2 linked regions of the Arabidopsis thaliana genome follow. The protein of the gene in region 2 interacts with the protein of the main gene of each other region in a pairwise test. Each region holds a gene or a part of one and is shown on either strand. Other genes may lie near its edges.

Region 1 (4,353 bases), on a different chromosome or scaffold from region 2:
TTTCAGGCTTGTGTTAGTAGTGGATTGCTAAAGAAAGCAACTCAATCTCAGCGAAATACTCAACAAGTAGAAGATTAGAAGCAAGTGTGTGGATTGTTTCCTTTGGCTTCTTAGTAGGGTTTTTGTTGCCTTCTTAATAATTTTTGTGGCTCATAGTTTAGTGGTGTTTTGCACTAAAGATAGGTTAAGGTTTTGGTGATAAGTATCTGTTAGAAGCAGAACTCTCGCGTCGATCTATGATACTTATAAGTTCCAATGTTGAATTAACACATTGTCTTACTAGTTTTTGGATTCAATTTACAACATTCTTAAAGCTTTGATTCAAATGATATCAAGCAACCTGAGTGATCATTGTTATATCTCCATCTCCTCATGCAAGCGCTTATCCAGAGTTAGCTTAGTCGTAACGTAAAATTTCATTCGCATGTAGCATCAATGTTGGTTTCTAATCAACAAGTTAGCTCACGCTTGATCACCCAAACGCAAAGTAGTTGTGTCCATAGTTGTATATGTTGTGTATCGAATAAGATGGTTTTATACATCACCACGGTCTATTATGATCATCATTGGAATCTATACACAGTTCAATACTAACAATCAACAGAAAAATATTTCTTATAACTTTTGCATTGATCAAGGAACTCAGTTCTAGAGCACACGAGATGTAAAAATCTACCGGAGAAGTCACTAAAAAGTAGTTCAACATTTCAGAATAGTTTACAGTTCCAGGCGATAAATAAACCAAGCCCTGGTAAAAAGTGGACAAGACAAGACCTCACTGTTCTTGTCAATAACCAGGGTGAAATTAGTCCAAATTTCAATCCCTGTAAGGCTGTAACTCAAGAAATCTCTAATCTGCTTTTACAAGGACAAGCAGATTCTAAGTAAAGACAACAACATGCGAAAAGCAAACATATCCGCTTTTCGCTGGTCGATCAGATCTATAGACGCCTTTCGGGTTAGTAGCAACGAACCCTTTCTCGCTATTTCACTGACCGACTCTTTTCACTAGCCTCATGTGCCAAAGAGTTGCAACCTTCGTCTTTCCAGCTCAAGCTGCGATAAAAGCAAAATTGCATTACTATCACACCCAAGGCTTGATCAACGTTACACGATTGAATGCAAATGACTAATATAACACCAGAGGCTTAATTGGCATTACACAATGAACTGAAAGTGACGCTTACCACTTTCTTGACTCGGTTGTTGGCAGCATCAGTTCCTCCAAAGACACAATCTGAAAGATACGGGCTACGAACGCGTACCTCTTTCATCACCAGAATGTCTGAGTTTTCCCATTGCACAGGAAGCCTAAAAGGAAAATAATTCACATGTGATTCATTCGAAAGAGAAAAAGCAAATTCAAACAAAGAAAGTTTAAGGATTTATGTAGTCTAAAACTATGTATCTAGACAGCTTCTTAACTGTATCAGTATCACAAAGAAGACTAAAGATACTTGACACTAGAGCCCACAACATATGTAATCTACAACAACCACAAACATAGAAACTTTACATATATATAGTTGCAAACTAGCATCACCGGAAACCAAGAGCAAAACAACACTAAATCATGTCCAGATCCTAACAATTTATCTTTGGGAATAACACATTAGACGCACAAAACAAAATCCTCCAACCCAAGCAATTGTTTACAAAGAACTAATAGTTCAACTAAACAACATTAGATTACGATCTCGTCCCACCTCTCTACCGTATACTCTAAGCTGTGTTTCCTTCTTAGAGATTAGCTTATTTTTCGATCCGAAAACGTATAAAAAGAGAAGATCCTTACGTCTTAGACAACGCGTCGAAGATGCTCTGAGCCTCAGCGGTAACACCAACTCCCATTCTTTCAGCATCTGCTTCCGCTTGCCTGTGCTCAATACGTTTTCCCAAGTAAGCTCAAAACAAGCAAATAGCAATAAAAATTGCATTTTGAAAGGATTCAACAACAAAATATCTTATCACCTGATAGCAAGTGCCTCTTTAGCTCGGAGACCATTAAGATCAACAGAAAAGTTGTCTGAATCAAGTGGATCTTCAGTTTTGCCTAAATACGAAAGCCCTGTAATAAAACTCGCATTCACCATCCGAGTGTTCTTCAAATGCCCAGGTCTAGGTTTTGTACCCTCTTGTAATAACCAATAACTCGTCAAGGATAACACAATTCAGGTCAAGACATTGAAAATACCTAAATCTCAAATTTTGATGAAACAAACAATTAAAGAAATTAAGGATATCAAAAAAGACGAAGTTGGGGATGGGGTCGTAAGCCATGACGATCCCTCTGAACTCATCTCCGGTGATCACCTTCACTGAATAAATATTCCCCACCGCGAATTTCTCTCCTTCTCCTCCGATTGCGCTGGCCACCGATGCTCCTGCTGGATCCATGGCGGCCGTCCTCGCTCCTCCTCCGTCTTCTGAAATCGCCGAACTTCGGAAAAATTAAAACTATATATATCGCAATATGGGCCTTAAGCCCAAATAGCTACTGGCTTATAACAGTTTCCTCATTTTTATATCAGTATATGGGCCATAAGGGCCCAATAACTACTGAGCTTCATGATTAGTTCAAAACGCGGCGTTTTAAAGATTAGTGTATGACTGTTACTTTATCCATTTTATTTCGTTATAAACAGATTAGCGAACACTGAACCACAATCAAATCGGAGAAAATCGTGTGTGTGTGTGTCAATGGCGGCTTTAAGCATCTCACTAGCTTTCTCTGTTGATTCTCTCAAACCAACCCAATCAACGAAGTTTGGCTTCTCGTCTTCTTCACATAGATATCCATTACTCTACTCGTGTAAATCTCACCGCTCCAATCTCAGATTCGCTTTCCCTCCTTCTTCAGTTTCGACAGCTACAGAAACTGGAGAAGAAAACTCTAAATCGACCGGGAATTACGCGTTTCTAGAGGAATCGTTTCGTACCGGGAGGTTTTTGAGTAACGATGAGTTAGAGAAGCTTAAAACTCTTGAAGGATTTGCGTATTTTCAAGAGCTTGAATCTGGATCGATGTGGGTTCGAGTTATGAGACATGAAGAGATGGATTCAACGGTGCATCTATTGGCTGAGTCATTTGGTGAATCGATGTTATTACCTTCTGGTTATCAGTCTGTGTTACGGTTTTTGATTAAGCAGTATTTGATTGAGAGAAGAGAAGTGTTGCCACACGCAGTTACTTTAGTTGGTTTCTTTAGGAAAAAAGTTGATGAGTTTAGTGATGATGGAGAGGAGGAGGCTGTGATGGCTGGAACTGTTGAGGTTTGTTTGGAGAAACGAGGCGCTAATGCTTCTCCTCCTTCTCCAACTCCTCCTAAGGAATCACCTTATATCTGTAACATGACTGTCAAAGAGGATCTTAGAAGGAGAGGAATTGGGTGGCATTTGTTGAAGGCGAGTGAGGAACTGATATCTCAGATTAGTCCATCAAAAGATGTATACTTGCATTGTAGGATGGTTGATGAGGCTCCTTTCAATATGTACAAGAAGGCAGGATACGAGGTTGTTAAGACAGATACAGTTTTGGTCCTTCTGATGTTACAGCGGCGTAAGCATTTGATGCGGAAGAAACTTCTTCCACTATGCACCAATCCTATAGTAGAAATGGTGGGGTCTGATAATGAGCTGACCTCCTCTGCAAATGTGTAAACATGGGTACAGTTTTTCCATCAGTGTACCAATTAGCTTTTAGTCTTCTTCTCAACCTTTTCTGAATTTATAACAAACATTGTGATTGGCTTTATTATGTAGGAGCTAAATGTGACATGACCAAGGGTCGGGTTGATAATCCCGTTTGCTTCGACCTATTGTTTATATGATCTTAGTAGAGGTACTCCACACACACTCTTATCTTTGTTATCTGCTTCCTGTATTGGCAGCGATTGTATTTCTTGTTCATAGACATGTGGTTAATTCTTTAGGCATTAGGCGAAAGAAGGAAAGAAAAAACAAGACTACACCCCTGAATTTATGTACTCATTTCTCTTAAAGCAAAACATTCATAGCAGCAAATACAACATACTATACGGATACATCTAGTGCTTGATTTTCTTAGTGAAATTATAGTATATATATCCAAATAATATCGCTTGATCAAAGTTTCCTAGCTGGAAGTTGAATTGAAATTATCCGGTAATTCATAATTAGTATTGTTTGTTTATATTTATCAAGTGTTTTTTTATCAGTGACCTCTCATTTTAGGAAAAATGACAGTAATCCATTTTACTTGTTTCGAAGAATTCAGTGTCTAGAGCCTTCTGAATGTAGGAATCGTCCCACCCAAACCACCCTTCGAGTTTGTGTAGATAATTAGTTGCAGTTCCTTAACACAATCCATCACTG
Region 2 (5,611 bases):
TTCAGTGGAGACATTCCTGCGATTGAAGCAAACCATTGTCAAATTCCAACTCCTAATTACCACCAGCCATGCTTAGACCCAAATTCAGTAATCCATTCTCAGAACCCAATTTTAACCGAGCTCGAGAAAAGAAAGATTGTCGAAAGCGAGGCTTACGTGACGAAGATACATAAGCTGAAACAAGAATCTTATTCTCTGGTCCACGACCACGATTCGTATTCAAATCGAGATTCTTGAGCGATTTTGGCAGCTTTTCTTCCATCAAAATTCACCGCGAGATTTCTGATCGCCGGAGATTCTAATCGAGGAATATTAGCGGACGGCGGATTATATGAACTTCTAATTAGCTCAAACCGAAACATAACCGACTTAACGTTTATGATCTCTCATTTGTATCTCTCTAATCTCTCTTGTGTAATATGTTACGTGATTAGTCTCGCTCTGTTTCAGACGTAATTTAACTTCCAACATTTATGAACTGCAATTTATTGAGATCACCAATATGTGATCAACGATACTTTTTCCAAAGAATCAATCATATAATGTTTTCATATTCTACAACATTTTTCACCCAAATTCAACTCCGATAAACCAATGCAAAAAAACCCCAATATAATAAGCCAAAACAGAGCTTAACACTCGCAACATACTTACACAAAACCGAAGAATAGGAAAAAACTAGGAACCAAAACTAGGACCTTTTTAACCCTTATTAGGTTGGAGAGGCAAAGAATAAAGGTATGAAACCAAAAACAATGAGACTTTGTTTATGGAAACTTTGTGTAGAAACCATTAGGAACTGCAACTGTCATTGGCTGATTCGTGGGGAAAGGAGGCTGCTGCATAGCTGGGAATTGGGTGGGAATGCCATAAGGTTGCGGTCCACCAGTCGTGAATGGTAGGGAGACACATAGCGGTAGCGGCTGGCCAGCTGCTACTACACCTGCATCACATAATGGTTCATTCTAGTTAAGGCACAATCTTTTGGTTTGGTCCAAAAAGGCAAATCAAGGTAGACTCAGGTATTTACCTTGATGCTTCAGGTATTGGACATGTTGTGCGGTAGGTAGAGGGCAGGAGAGCATAGGTGAGAGAGGCGGTGTTCCTTGAACCAGATCCTGGAAAAATAAGAAAGACTATTACTAAAAATGACTATAACGATATGAATAAGAGGAGATTTTCGACCAAACTTAAACCAATGACTGCGTAATAATATTTCTTATTTCACTCAGCAATACAGGACATACATTCGATTAAACTAACATCATTAAAGGTTCATCAAGAAGCTATATACATCAAGTTCTAACCTGAGAAACTGATTGGACATAGACAAGCTGCCCCGATCTTGCAACCATCACCTGGAGGACAGTAAAAAGAGTCTTTAGAAACAATAACACCAATACATCTCAATACAGATAAATTTTTCTTAAAACCGCGCTTTCAACAAAAGTGAGTTTTGGGGACCTCCATGAAATATAACCTGAGGACTTGGATTTACAAGCATTGGTGCAGCTTGAACAGAATGGTACTGAGCGGTGTATCTCTGAGGCTGTGCTCTGTTAACAGTTGGCCCAATCATCTGCAGGAAAATGGGTTGCAAGTGGAAGAATGATTCATCCATGGCAAAACAAACAAAAGTTGGTGGCAGAAAGTATATGGAAGCATTTTAACAGTACAGACAAAGCCATATCAATTCAGAATGATCTTTTAATCTGGTGTTCAATACTAACATTTATGGTTGTTAACCATTCAGGCGCTTAGTGGTGAGAGGAACAGTCTATTCTCAATTACTAGTTGATAAAAGCCCTTTGACATAACATGCTCGAAGAGAGTAAGATAATACTTACGTGTTGAGGAAATTGAAATCCACCGACAGCATGTCCAGCGGTCACATTACCATATGGTACAAACTTAGAAGGTGGAGGTGCTTGCGGCACATAAGGGTTGTTTACAACTTCTGGGTAAATAGCTTCAGGAACTGGTAGCATGGGAGTGTTGCTTGGTATGTAAGCAATATTTCCAACATGAGGCATACCGACAGGAGACGGTGAAAGCCGTTTTGTATAAGACGGAGAAAAAATCTTAGCCTCTGGATTCAGCTTGAACTCCTGTATGTGGTAGAAGTTTTAGAATTGAAAACGTGGTAATTGAGTAATAGATAAAGTAAAATGAACACTCAGGCTGATTTGACAATATAACAACGACTATAATGAACACACTCGTTTGAAATGTGAGAGAATGAATAGATTAACAAATCTTTAGGACCAGAAAATCAATCTAAACTGTACTTAGGAGTTTACCTTAGGCTTTTTGACGGCCTGGATAGGTACTGATGCAGTTGAAGATGCCGCCACTCTACCCCGACACAATTCCAAGGTGTCATCAACAGGTGTACTTTCTGACAATAAATTGTCAGTTGAAGAGGGTTTTGCAGCAGCATTGTGAAAACCATTACTAAGAGGTTCCGGCATCAAGTTATCTTCTTCTATAGGTTTAACTCGTTCGGACATGCTATCCACTGGATGTTTGTAATTTCACATGAATGAAAGTTGAGGGATAAGTATGTTAGATAACATTTCACTATCAAAAAGAAGCAGAAACAAGAATACGATAGCTATAACAAAGATAAAAAAATATCCGTGGAAAATGAACTCACAGCTAGAACTTGAGCTTTGGATATCAATCTGCAATAGGAAACTAACAAGTAAGCAGCTGCTAAGTAATAACCGAATCAAACAAATGAACTATCTTTCTACAAGACTAACATTATCCTGTTGATAAACCTCTGGAATTTGTACACTACGCTTCAAAATCTGAGCTCCAGCCTGCCTGTCAACAAAAGCATACAAGAATCAGAGAGAAGGAAGAAATTTATCTAGGCAAAGTTTAGACATTGGTATGCTAAACTATACTAGATTGCTAAGATTGACATGGAAAAAGAAAATTTGTCACAGAATGCAAATATTGAGATGGAAATCAGGGTTCTGTTAACATATTTACTTCATTTTTCAGAAAAATTCTAAGTAATCCTGTTTTCGGAAGTTAAGAGATTTTCACAATTATCATCTGGCGATTTCTTAAAGCAATTTACCTCTTATGATTAAAGCCCCTTCCTTGAGTGGAAACATTTGTGGATTTATTTGCAGCACATAAACGAGGCTCAGAAGGTAATGTTTCTGTGGCTGATCCGACCTCATTATTGGCTGTTGTAACATTTGATGGAAGCGAGACTCCCTATGAAACAGAGATCCACAAGCATGTCACACAGATTGTTACTAATGAAGCTCTAAAAAAGGTAAGTAACTGAAGGAAAAAAGAACGCACTTCCGCAATTATTTGAACAATAGTGGAAGACAGAATAACAAGTGTATCGACCACACTCCCGCTTGCTACATTCGATATACTTGTCCCCTTCTTAGTAATTCTTGCATCCTTCAAAACAATGCCTGTATCACACAGAGACATATTAAGAAACTATACCAAAACTGTACATGTCCTTGATCTGGACAAGCCTAACTCCATAATTGTCCAAATCATAGACTGTTATAAACTGTCTGTTTGAGTTGAAATTAACAGAACCTAGGAGGATTCAATAGTAAAAGATCCCATTCAGATCTCTAATAGGTAACAAATTCCGATAAGAAAGCTCGAAAACCAAATCACTCAAAAACATATGAAAACAATCGAAACATTTACCAAAGCCATTGTCGACGGAAGCGGTGAAGAAAATCCCAGAAAAGACGGAACCATCCTTGACGTGAACATGAACTTGCAATCCGATTATACACATAGTTGCTGCTATTAACACCGATGATGAAGACTTGTTGTTGTTGTTGTTGTCGTCGTCTTCCACTTTCCTTGCGTTTCCCATCCTTTTTTTTCTTTCTGACGACCTTTCAAATCCCTTGAAGAAAGATTTCAAATCTGTAGAAGTTTCTATGGAAATCACGGTCTATTCGGAGCTAAATTATATACATATATATCATCGTACTAGGAAAAAAATTAAAAGGTGAAGAAAATGAAAAAACAGATCTAGAAATTACGAGGGAACCGGTAACAGCGACTCTCTCTCTTTTTCGCTCTTTTTTTCTTCTTTTTCTCCACAGGCTTAATGGGCCCTTATTTGGTATAACACGGCCCATGTTGATTTCATGCTACCCCATTAGATAAAATCTTATTTAAGTTTACTGTTTTCTTTTAACCAAAGGTGAATAAATAACTCATCACAATTCTACTATATATTGAAAACGAATCAACTATAATAGGATCACAAAACGAGTATTATTGAAAAATTATGAGGGTACTACTGAATAATTGGAAGTCATAGGTGATACAAGAAGAAATGGTACAGCAAGAAAACATAATGGTCATATTAGTCATGACAAAAAACACTTGGGTTTAAGCTTTTTGTTATGACTTGCAAGGACACTCAACAATAGCCACGCGAAAGAAAAATAATCCAAAAGAAAAAAAAAAGAGTTGAAGAGAGAATCTGAGACAAGAAGAGCTAATACACATCCACTTCAATAATTCATTCACCATTGTCAAACGGTTACAGCTTTCTACAACTTCAGCTCGATCACGACTTACACATCATGCTTCACTGCAAATTCGGATAAACAAACAGAGTGAAGAAGAATCAGTTATCTCGCAAAAAAACAGAAAACATAGATACTTTTCATTCGAAGATATTCAGATAAAAACCAAAGAATGTTACCTGCTGTTGCTGCTGGTATCCACCAGGCTGCTGGTAGTTTCCATAGCCGCCCCCAGCATAACCACCGTAGTAGGCGTTAGGGTCCTGAGGAGGAGGTGCATATCCGTATGCTTCATATCCTTGAGGAGGATACCCATAGTATCCTCCACCACCACCATACTGGGCTTGATCAGGTTGAGTCTGTGAAATTCGTGGATCAACAAGTCATCAGATCACATAACGTATATGAAAGCGTAGTAAGCTTGGTGCATTGTCTAACAGATACAAACCTGTTTGTTGGAAGGACTGCGACCCCATGAAAGACGAATGCTTTGTCCCCCAAGTTGTGTTCCGTTCAACACAGAAAGTGCTTGCTCAGCACATGCCCTGAAGCATACAGACAGATTAAATATGTGAAAAAACATTCTCAAAATAAGTAAAGATGAAGTTCGTCTCCAAGTTCACATTTACCTATTGGCGTATTGAACAAATCCGCAACGTTTTCCTGCGGGTATTTTCACATGAACTAGTTCACCAAATTGACCAAAAACTGACTTCAAATCATCTTCTGTTACACTTTGATCCACAGCTCCAACAAAAATCTGGAATAGAGAACATAACGCTTCAATTTCAACAATATATCCCACAGAGAAAAAGGCTTAGGCAACGTCAAAGAAAAAAAAGGCTTAGGGAAACCAAAACAAGTTACGCACTGTTGTGTTAGTTGGATCACTTTCTCCTGAATTTCCTTGAGTGTTCTGATATGAAGCTGCAATAAAACAGTCAAGAGAAGGTAAGGAAAAAAACCTCAAACATCTATTTATTTAATTAAGCTGACAGTGCAAGGACACAGACACTAACACAAACGCACACACACGACAATAGCAGTAGCAGAACTTATCCAAATCAAGACCC

Evidence for each region.
Region 1: the proteins of AT4G26990 (region 2) and AT1G24050 interact in a two-hybrid assay, tested with the Arabidopsis thaliana proteins (one large-scale study listed by BioGRID).

What each region holds. Positions count from the first base shown.
Region 1 is NC_003070.9:8,505,101-8,509,453, reverse strand, and holds AT1G24050 (RNA-processing, Lsm domain-containing protein), read right to left. Parts: upstream 2,487-4,353; 5' UTR 2,398-2,486; coding exon 2,244-2,397; intron 2,138-2,243; coding exon 1,972-2,137; intron 1,877-1,971; coding exon 1,796-1,876; intron 1,312-1,795; coding exon 1,188-1,311; intron 1,057-1,187; coding exon 1,015-1,056; 3' UTR 545-1,014; downstream 1-544. Other genes in the region: AT1G24040 (Acyl-CoA N-acyltransferases (NAT) superfamily protein), read left to right, coding at 2,701-3,660; AT1G24030 (Protein kinase superfamily protein), read right to left, coding at 4,259-4,353.
Region 2 is NC_003075.7:13,550,383-13,555,993, forward strand, and holds AT4G26990 (polyadenylate-binding protein interacting protein), read right to left. Parts: upstream 4,055-5,611; 5' UTR 3,872-4,054; coding exon 3,697-3,871; intron 3,447-3,696; coding exon 3,325-3,446; intron 3,235-3,324; coding exon 3,092-3,234; intron 2,830-3,091; coding exon 2,766-2,829; intron 2,685-2,765; coding exon 2,657-2,684; intron 2,519-2,656; coding exon 2,301-2,518; intron 2,109-2,300; coding exon 1,848-2,108; intron 1,580-1,847; coding exon 1,481-1,579; intron 1,359-1,480; coding exon 1,308-1,358; intron 1,119-1,307; coding exon 1,031-1,118; intron 944-1,030; coding exon 768-943; 3' UTR 510-767; downstream 1-509. Other genes in the region: AT4G26980 (RNI-like superfamily protein), read right to left, coding at 1-16, 157-262; ATRBP45C (RNA-binding (RRM/RBD/RNP motifs) family protein), read right to left, coding at 4,601-4,603, 4,718-4,897, 4,987-5,083, 5,168-5,298, 5,410-5,465.